Nothobranchius furzeri: one gene and its partner. The protein of the gene in region 1 interacts with the protein of each later gene in a pairwise test. Links are inferred from orthologs where the notes say so. Each region holds a gene or a part of one and is shown on either strand. Other genes may lie near its edges.

Evidence for each region.
Region 2: the proteins of ehmt2 (region 1) and rd3 interact in binary tests that used the Homo sapiens proteins (3 or more experiments, as listed by UniProt). The two-hybrid records come from large-scale screens. The link is inferred for Nothobranchius furzeri from reciprocal best matches to the Homo sapiens genes EHMT2 and RD3.

Annotation. Positions count from the first base shown.
Region 1 is NC_091759.1:8,513,461-8,517,281, forward strand, and holds part of ehmt2 (histone-lysine N-methyltransferase EHMT2), read left to right. Parts: coding exon 1-59; intron 60-219; coding exon 220-515; intron 516-601; coding exon 602-668; intron 669-1,088; coding exon 1,089-1,171; intron 1,172-3,821. UniProt on the Homo sapiens protein: Histone methyltransferase that specifically mono- and dimethylates 'Lys-9' of histone H3 (H3K9me1 and H3K9me2, respectively) in euchromatin.
Region 2 is NC_091742.1:7,770,697-7,775,141, reverse strand, and holds the start of rd3 (protein RD3), read left to right. Parts: upstream 1-1,604; 5' UTR 1,605-1,745; intron 1,746-2,916; 5' UTR 2,917-2,940; coding exon 2,941-3,230; intron 3,231-4,445.

The DNA of each region.
Region 1 (3,821 bases):
TGCTGAGGATGGAAGTCAGCGCTCTCCTGCTTCCTCCCCACCTAACAAACCTGCTGCAGGTGAAACTCAAAACCAGTCTTTGACTAAGCTCCTGACTTAATCAGGTTCTGAAGAGAATTATTAAAATTTGACTGTTTTTTTAACGTAGTGATCGCTTAGTTTAATCTTTAGTAACATGTTTTTTCATCTTCAGTAACAGTTTGTATCTCTTCTTAACAGGTCACGCAGCAAAGTCCATTTCCTCAATGTCATCTTATCCTTCCACCTCTTCATTTTTTTCCCCTGGTCGGGCAAAGATGAGCGTTTCCGGGCCGTCTTCTTGTAAATCCGTCCTCCCACCTGGCCCTTCCTCCTCTTCCTCTTCTTCATCCTCCTCCTCCTCCTCCTCCTCCTCCTCTTCTTCCTCCTCCTCTTCCTCTTCATCTGGCTCAGCTTCGTTGACACCTTCTGTCTCCCCGAGTCCACACAAGATCCACCGGGCCCGTAAGACCATGAACAGGCCTTCACCCGGCCAAGTAATGACTTCTGTTACACATTTTTATTCCCACAATTGTTTGTTGTTTTACTTTTTCTGAAAGGTTAGCATTTTTTTATTCGACAGGTGAGTTACGCTGAGACTCCTGCTACGTCGGGTTCCTCCACCTGCTTCTCTACTGACTCTGAAACAGGTAAGTTCTAAACTTCGATCATATTTACTCCTCCGATTGTTCTCCAGCACTCGTAATTACAGGTCCTCTTCTACTGTGTGGTTTTTAAATTAATTCAATGTACGCCGATCACTTCAGCTGGTTTTTGGATTGTTCGTACCGACCTGCAGCTTTTGGTTGAATCAGAAAACTAGTTTTCATGCAGAAGTCTCAGTTGGCACCACTCTGCTCAGGTGTTGCATGGCAGAATGAGCCAATCTTTGCCTCCTGATTCGGCTATATCTCTTAAACACATCGTTGCAACACCAACATGTCTTTTAAAACTCAGAAAATGCTCCTGAAATCTTGTTTTCCATGTAAGTTTGACTGTTTAAAAAACTAAAAAGGCTTTTTTTTCTCTTATAACTGTCACGCTTTGTGTTGTTTTTCTGTTTCCACCAGCTGCTAGAAAGAGAAAACTGGGTCATGTATCAGAGAGTAAATCTGAGAAGGGCGACAGCGTTTCAGAAAAAGGCCAAACTGTGGTAAGTTGATGTCTTCGTGTTTGATTTACTGGGGGGGGGCCGTAAGCATTTGAACACCTGAGGAATCGGCAGAATTCTGGCTCAAAGACATTTTACTCTAACTTCAAAGTCCACCTCTACTCCACATATTAATCTAAACTGGCATCACCTGTCTAAGCTTCTTAAGCACATCTGTCCACCTCACAGTCAGTCAGTCAGACTCCCAACTACTAACCATGGGCAAGACCAAAGAGCTGTCAAAAGACACCAGAGACAAAGTTGTGGACCTCCATAAGGCTGGAAAGAGGTACGGGGCAATTGCTGGGCAGGTTGGTGAAAATAGATCAACTGTTGGAGCAATTGTTAGAAAATTCAATTCAAGTTTATTTATACAGCGCCAAATCACAAGAGTTGTCTCAAGGCACTTCACATAATAAAGCATTCCAACACAGGCCAGGGGCCTCATTTATCAAGCTTGCTTACGCACAAAACGGGGTCGGAAAACTGCGTAAGCAACTTTCCACGCAAACTTTGGGATTTATGAAGGAAAACTTAGCGGAAAAATGTGCGCAACTTTAAGTTGACTAAGGACCTGGCTTACGCACATGTTGGACATGGAGAGCACCTGCAGTGCTGCTGCTGAGAAGGATAAAATTATGAAATCCTGCATTATTATCACTTGTACTGCTTCGTTTTCACACAGAACAAGACACCCCACATGCACACACATGCGCGTGCACACACGAGCTCGCGCACACACACACAGCCTGAAGTGCAGAATACGGAATGCAGAATATCAGCAGGGGGACAGATTGAGGCAGAATGTCGTGCGTCTGTGACAGTGTGTGTGTCTCGTCACTGTGATAAGATTGATCATGTGCCCTGGCTACTTGGACAAGAGAGATTACTGTTTGGCTGACTGGTTAGCGCGTGTGACTTTCACTCGGGAGTCGGGATCGACTCCTGTTTGGATCATTTTTTTATATCCGCCACAGGAACTCATCATTAAGCTCCTCGTGATTTTTATCTTGAAAGGCGCTATAGAAATGATATTTTCTCCTTCTTCTTGACGGCTTCAGCAACACTGTGCCACTCCGTGGATTTTCTCTTATTTGTTTTGCAAAAGCACTTCCTTTCATTTCGCCACCTCAACTTCTACTTGTGAAATTGGGCTTCCTTGGTCTGCCTTGATCTACGGTCGCCATGTCATTGGCGGAGCACTGCAACAAGCCGGCTTATGTATATGCATGAGATCCACAAGGCACTTTGCATTGAATATTTATGGCAGTAAGTGGGTGTGATGAGGGCGGGATGTGACCAAAAAGCAGCTGAGAACATTTGTAGATAGTTTCCGATTTATGGAGCAGAGATTGCGTGCAGCTGTGCGTACTCCATGTTTGATAGATCACAAACCTACTTGGTGTAAGTACTTTTTTTTTTTTTTTTTGCTGAGCTTAAGTACGGTTTTAGTAAGGATTCTACTCAATGTTTGATAAATGAGTCCCCAGTTCATTAAGCCAATCAGAAAAAAGTTTCCTATATAAGGAACCCAGCTAATTGCATTGAGTCACTGACGCTACAGCGATCCTCATACTAAGCAAGCATGCAGCGACAGTGGAGAAGAAAACTCCCTTTTAACAGGAAGAAACCTCCAGAGGATCCTGGCTCAGTATAAGCAGCCATCCTCCACGACTCACTGGGGATCAAGAAGATAGAGCAGACACACACACACACACACACACACACACACACACACACACACACACACACCAAGTAATGTTTCCATGGTTACATTGTGATCCTAGTGATTCTATAATTAAACGGGTAAACTAGTAGTAGCACATTCTATGTCAAAGAAAGTAAAATGTTATTATCAGGAGAGGGAGAATGTTTAAGTGGTTAGCAGCAGTGTGCTAGACGATGGCCCCCTCCATGAGGGCACCACAGCTCAGCAGAACATCGATGTAGCTTCTTCTGGGGAGAAAAACACTTAGAGAGAAAATAAAGTTAACAGCTGAAACAGCAGGAAATAATACAGTTAAAGAGCAGATTGTAGAAGAAAGTAGTCGAGTGTGGAAAGTGGTCAGTGTGTCCTCCAGCAGTCTAAGCCTATAGCAGCATAACTACAGAGCTAACTCTGGATAACCTAGCCTTTTACCCCCAAATTCCACTACCTCCGCTCCGCTCCGGTCCGGTCCGCCCCCGCCTTCCGCAGCCGCTCGCTTCCGAACTCAATTTTTACTGGTACCCGCTCTACAACGGCTCCGCTCCGGTGCGGAGACCTGAGGTGGGCAAACAAGCATGCGCAGGATTTTCGAGATCTTGCGATACAGTCCGAGCAATAAACGCGGAAGTTAGATCCAAACACCCGTTGTGTGGGAGAAGCATCAAAATGAACTGTTTAATCTGCCCATCATTTGTGTTGAGAGATCAGCAGTGTTTGGATCAACAAAGTGTGACTACTTTGATAGTAGAAACTGTATTTATGGCTTACTTTTGTGCATTTAAACTTCAGCTGCCACTGATAGTTGTTAAAAGTTGTTAAACCTGTGCATATGAAACAAAAAACGCCTTTTGTTTATCAATTTATTGTGAAAAACGGAAGTTGTGCTCGCTCCTTTTCCTGTTGGGCGTTTGTGATTTCTGTCCATTGACTGCGGAGGTGCTCCGG
Region 2 (4,445 bases), on another chromosome or scaffold:
TGCATTAGCTGACTAGTGACTAGTTTAGGCCCTACTAGTTACATGGTATAACTAAAGGTGTACTAGTTGACTATTTGAATAATTTAAGCCATTTTAGTTAACTAGCAGGACCAAAATAATGTGTACCAGTTGACTAGTAAATAGTTTGGGCCTTGTTGGTTAACCAACAGGACCAGGAATCCTTTGTACTAGTTGATTAGTGAACAGTTTAGACCCTGCTAATTAGCTAGTAGTACCAATGTTAGGTGTATTAGCTGGTTGTTGAATAGTTTTAGGCTTTGATAGTAAACTAGTAGGACCACATTTAACTGTAGTTGTTAACTAGTAAACAGTTCGGACATTTTTAGTAGAATGTCCTACCTCTACTATTTTTAGTAGTTGATACACGAGGAGTAGCACATGACTTGCTGCAATTACGTACATAGCAAGGAAAAATACCATCAACTAGTTAAACTTAGTGTTTTAATAGTAAATTAGATTTTACACATTTGTGTTGATTAGTTAACATAAAAGGGTTTTGATGCTTTCTAGTTAAACTGTTTATTACTGCTATCTTCAAGTTTTACTCAGTGATTTACTAAGAATACGTTAACTAGTTATGGGTTTTGACCTGCTAGTACAGCCCTTTGACTGACTACTACGACTTCAGCTTTAACTAGCTGGTAAAAATTCCCACTACATGGTAAAAAGTTATTGCTAGTAATGTTTTTATTCAACTTGAGCAGCGTTTGATCCAACTACTGTGGTGTAATGTTGGATTTGTGGAGCAAAAGAAGATTGGATAAATACACAAATGGCTTGCCATACAAACTCATCCATCCACAGTAAAATCCTTTGATGTTTGTCTTAAAATGTTTTGGCACAGCGGCACAGGAAGATGTTAAATTTCCTCTAATGGTGTTGTGAAGTCACTCTTTGTTTGACTTCCAACAGAAAACTGAGGAGGAGGAGAAGGAGGAGGAATATGTGCAAAGAGAGAACGTGTCTGAGGTTGGTTCCTCCCACCTGCACACAGAAGAAACCAACAAACCTTGATTTCCACCTACACAATAAGTGCACGCTCAGCCTGAACTCGACTACCTGCATCTCAGAAAATTTCCTTTCCTCCTGTAATGAATTAAAACACATCCTGTAAAACTGATCACGCCTCATTATCTGAGGGAAGTTCATTCATTCACACGGTGGTGACCTCTCCTTGATGGACTCGTACCGCAGCATCCACTCCATCCATCTCTGCTGCTCAGCCCACTCTCTTCTCTCTCTCTCTCTCTCTCTCTCTCTCTCTCTCTCTCTCTCTCTCTCTCTCTCTCTCTCTCTCTCTCTCTCTCTCTCTCTCTGCCTCTTCGTCGCTCTCCAGCTCCCTTTCAGCTGATAGAGCTTATTGTGGGCAAATGGGCTTAGGAGCATCGCTATGGCAACGGCAAATCGTAAAAAGCTACATAAGCACTTCATCAGGGGCTGTGATCCAATGGCTCCCCTTGGAGATGATGCCCTCAACCTCCTGCAACAAGTAAAGTCAGGCCGCCGAGGCTCCCGGGGGGAGGAGGAGGAGGAGGAGGAAAACACTCTGAGAGGAGGAGACAGTTCTGAGAGGATGGGAGAGGCGAGAAGGAGAAGGAGACCATCTATCTTCTGTCACTTTTCAGTATCCAGCTGGGTTTCTGGTGTCTGAGGATTTTCATTCTGTTCCGCTGGGATTTTGTTTCCTTAGTGACGCTCGTGACAAAACCTAACTCTAAAATCAGGTAAGATAAGGAAGATTTTACACAGAAAGTCTGATCGCTAGTTTTCTGATTTTATAACTGAAGTAGGCAGCAACACTTCACAGACAGTCTTTTGAAAATTCAGTATTTTTTAAACAAAAACCCTAAATCAACCTACAAATATTGTAAAACGTGAGAATTTTCTATTCAAAATGATTTCTAAATTAAAAAACTACTTTCTGATGATTATTTGATGAATGTTTGCACAAATAAACGCAGATATAAACAAATGTCCTTGACATTTAATGCATTTTTGCACCAGAATAACTTCATTTAATCAAAAATTGGACTCACCATTTCCAATACTCACATTTTTGTCTAAGTAACATCTTACCAAAATCAATGCAAAATAAAAGGATTTCTCTCTTTTATCCTTAAAATCTTCTCAACGATGAGAAGCTTCACGTTTTGCTTCGTGAAGAAACCTTAATATTTAATTTAGAATTGAGCATAGATGTTGAGCTAAATGTCTGCTTTGATCTCGTCTCGTCGGCTCGGTCCCCGGGTCGGTCTGATCGGCTGGTGGATGCATGTGCGGCAGCAGGTGTTGCTCTAATCCCACACCGTCTCTCTGACTTTTCCTTGGAACGTTGTGGTTAATCTGACCCACAAGTCCCAGGACAGTTCAGCCGAGGGAAGCGTGGAGAGCAGCTGCGATGCTGCATGTCAACAGATTATTGCCAGATTAAAAGAGGGCACTGAAACCCACATTAAAGAAGACAGGATGGATGTTTGCATTTAATCTGTGCTTTAAAACTACATGACTGAATGCTCATGATCGCAGCCGGAAACTTTATTTTTGCAAAATATTTAAATCAAACACTAACAGAAGGAGCAAAAATTAACACAAAGAAAAAAAACCTGATTAAATACCAATCATACGCTCCAGGTTTATTTATTTGCGGTACTTTTATCACAAAAAGGCTTTTCAAACAAAAGCTTCAGAATTAAAACACCTGCAGAACAAAGAGCTGGTGGAAGATGAGATGAAGGAGTGTTTTGATGTTTGTGTGAAGGACTGATATAAAGCTTTAGCCTTCACCTGGTTGGTTATTTTGCGAATCCTGAAAAGGAAAAAGAAAATCAAGAATCCACACATAAATCCATCAGATTAAGCAGACGTGGCAGTAATTTAGTGTCCCTACTTCTGTAGTGAAGGGTGGAGGAGAACGAGGTCATGGCCTCCTGGTTCAGCTGGAATGAGCCTTATTATCGGAGCCCCCGCAAAGACCCGGCCGACGTGGTCACCGACACCCTGATGCTGGAGTTCAGCTGGCAGCTGAAGGAAACCGAACGACTGCAGAAGGAGAGGGAGAACGAGTACCGGCGCCTGAAGAGCGGAGTGGATTACAGCTGGCTGGCCAGCATGCCTCGCTCCTCCTTCAACATCAGCACCGGGGAGAGGCTCGCTCTGGAGGACCTCTGCGCCAAGGTGCCCCCATCCTGCTGCGGACTGGTCATCCTCAAGTAAGGAAAAATAACTCTGAAGCAAAACGTCCGTTTGTTTTTTCTGAAACAACACTGACTTAAAGGTGCATTATGTAGAAATGAAGTAAAATGACATCCTGTGGTTAAATGTGGTTACCGCAGTCACTTTAAACAACCCGAGCTTTTGCCAGCCGTCGTCAAATTACAATTGTCGGAGCTGCAGCGTTAGCTCGCAGGAAACAGGGCAACCCCACACTCACTGATGGTAAACAGTAGTTACATCCCTCCTTCTTTTATTTTGAAAGGCGAAAAACTGACCATCAGTCAGATGGATATGAAACATGTTTCAGTTTAACCTTCCTTCCAAAATGACTGAAACATTAGACTCTTCTGGGACTTTGCCTCTGTAAAAGTCTCACTAAATTCTCACATACTGCACCTTTAAGGACATCTCGCAATGCTGCTGCAAGAAAGTCCAGATGTTGTCTTGACATGTTTTCTTCCAGCAGAGAAAAGCTAGTTAACTGGACTGACTGAAAACAAGTAAAAATAAAGTTGGTTTCATGTGCGCACCAGATTTTCTTTTTAGCCAAAACAATGTCCACGGACTCAGATTACTATAGCGAACAGCTGAGGAGGAATCAGAATCAGAGAATCAGAGAGAATTTTATTGCCAGCGCTCCAGCGAACCAGAGCATAGGAACTTGACTCCACAGAACAGCCTGACCAAGATTACACACACACACACACACATATAGACAGGACAGATACAGGCAGACCACGAGAGCAGCCATAACGGCGAATAGGACTTCATTTATAAAAACATGTACGTCATTTTGGATCAAGAACCCCAAACTTGACTTTGACTAATATCAGCTGAAGTAAATAATGTGCACAAGACACTATCTGGTGCACACAACATACTACCTAGTCAACACAAATTTCGTGTGCACAACATACTCTCTGGTGTGCACAAGTCACTATCTGGTGCGCACGACTATCTGATTTGCATGAGTTACTATCCGGTGCACACAACATACTATATGGTGAGCACAAATTACTATTTCGTGTGCACAACACACTATCAGGTATGCACGAGTTGTGCACAAGTTACTATTTGGTGCACACGACTAACTGGTTTGCACGAGTTACTATCTGGTGTGCATGACCATCTATTGTGCACGACTTACTATCTGGTGTGCACAAGTTACTATTTGGTGCACACGGCTATTTGGTGTGCATGAGTTACTATCC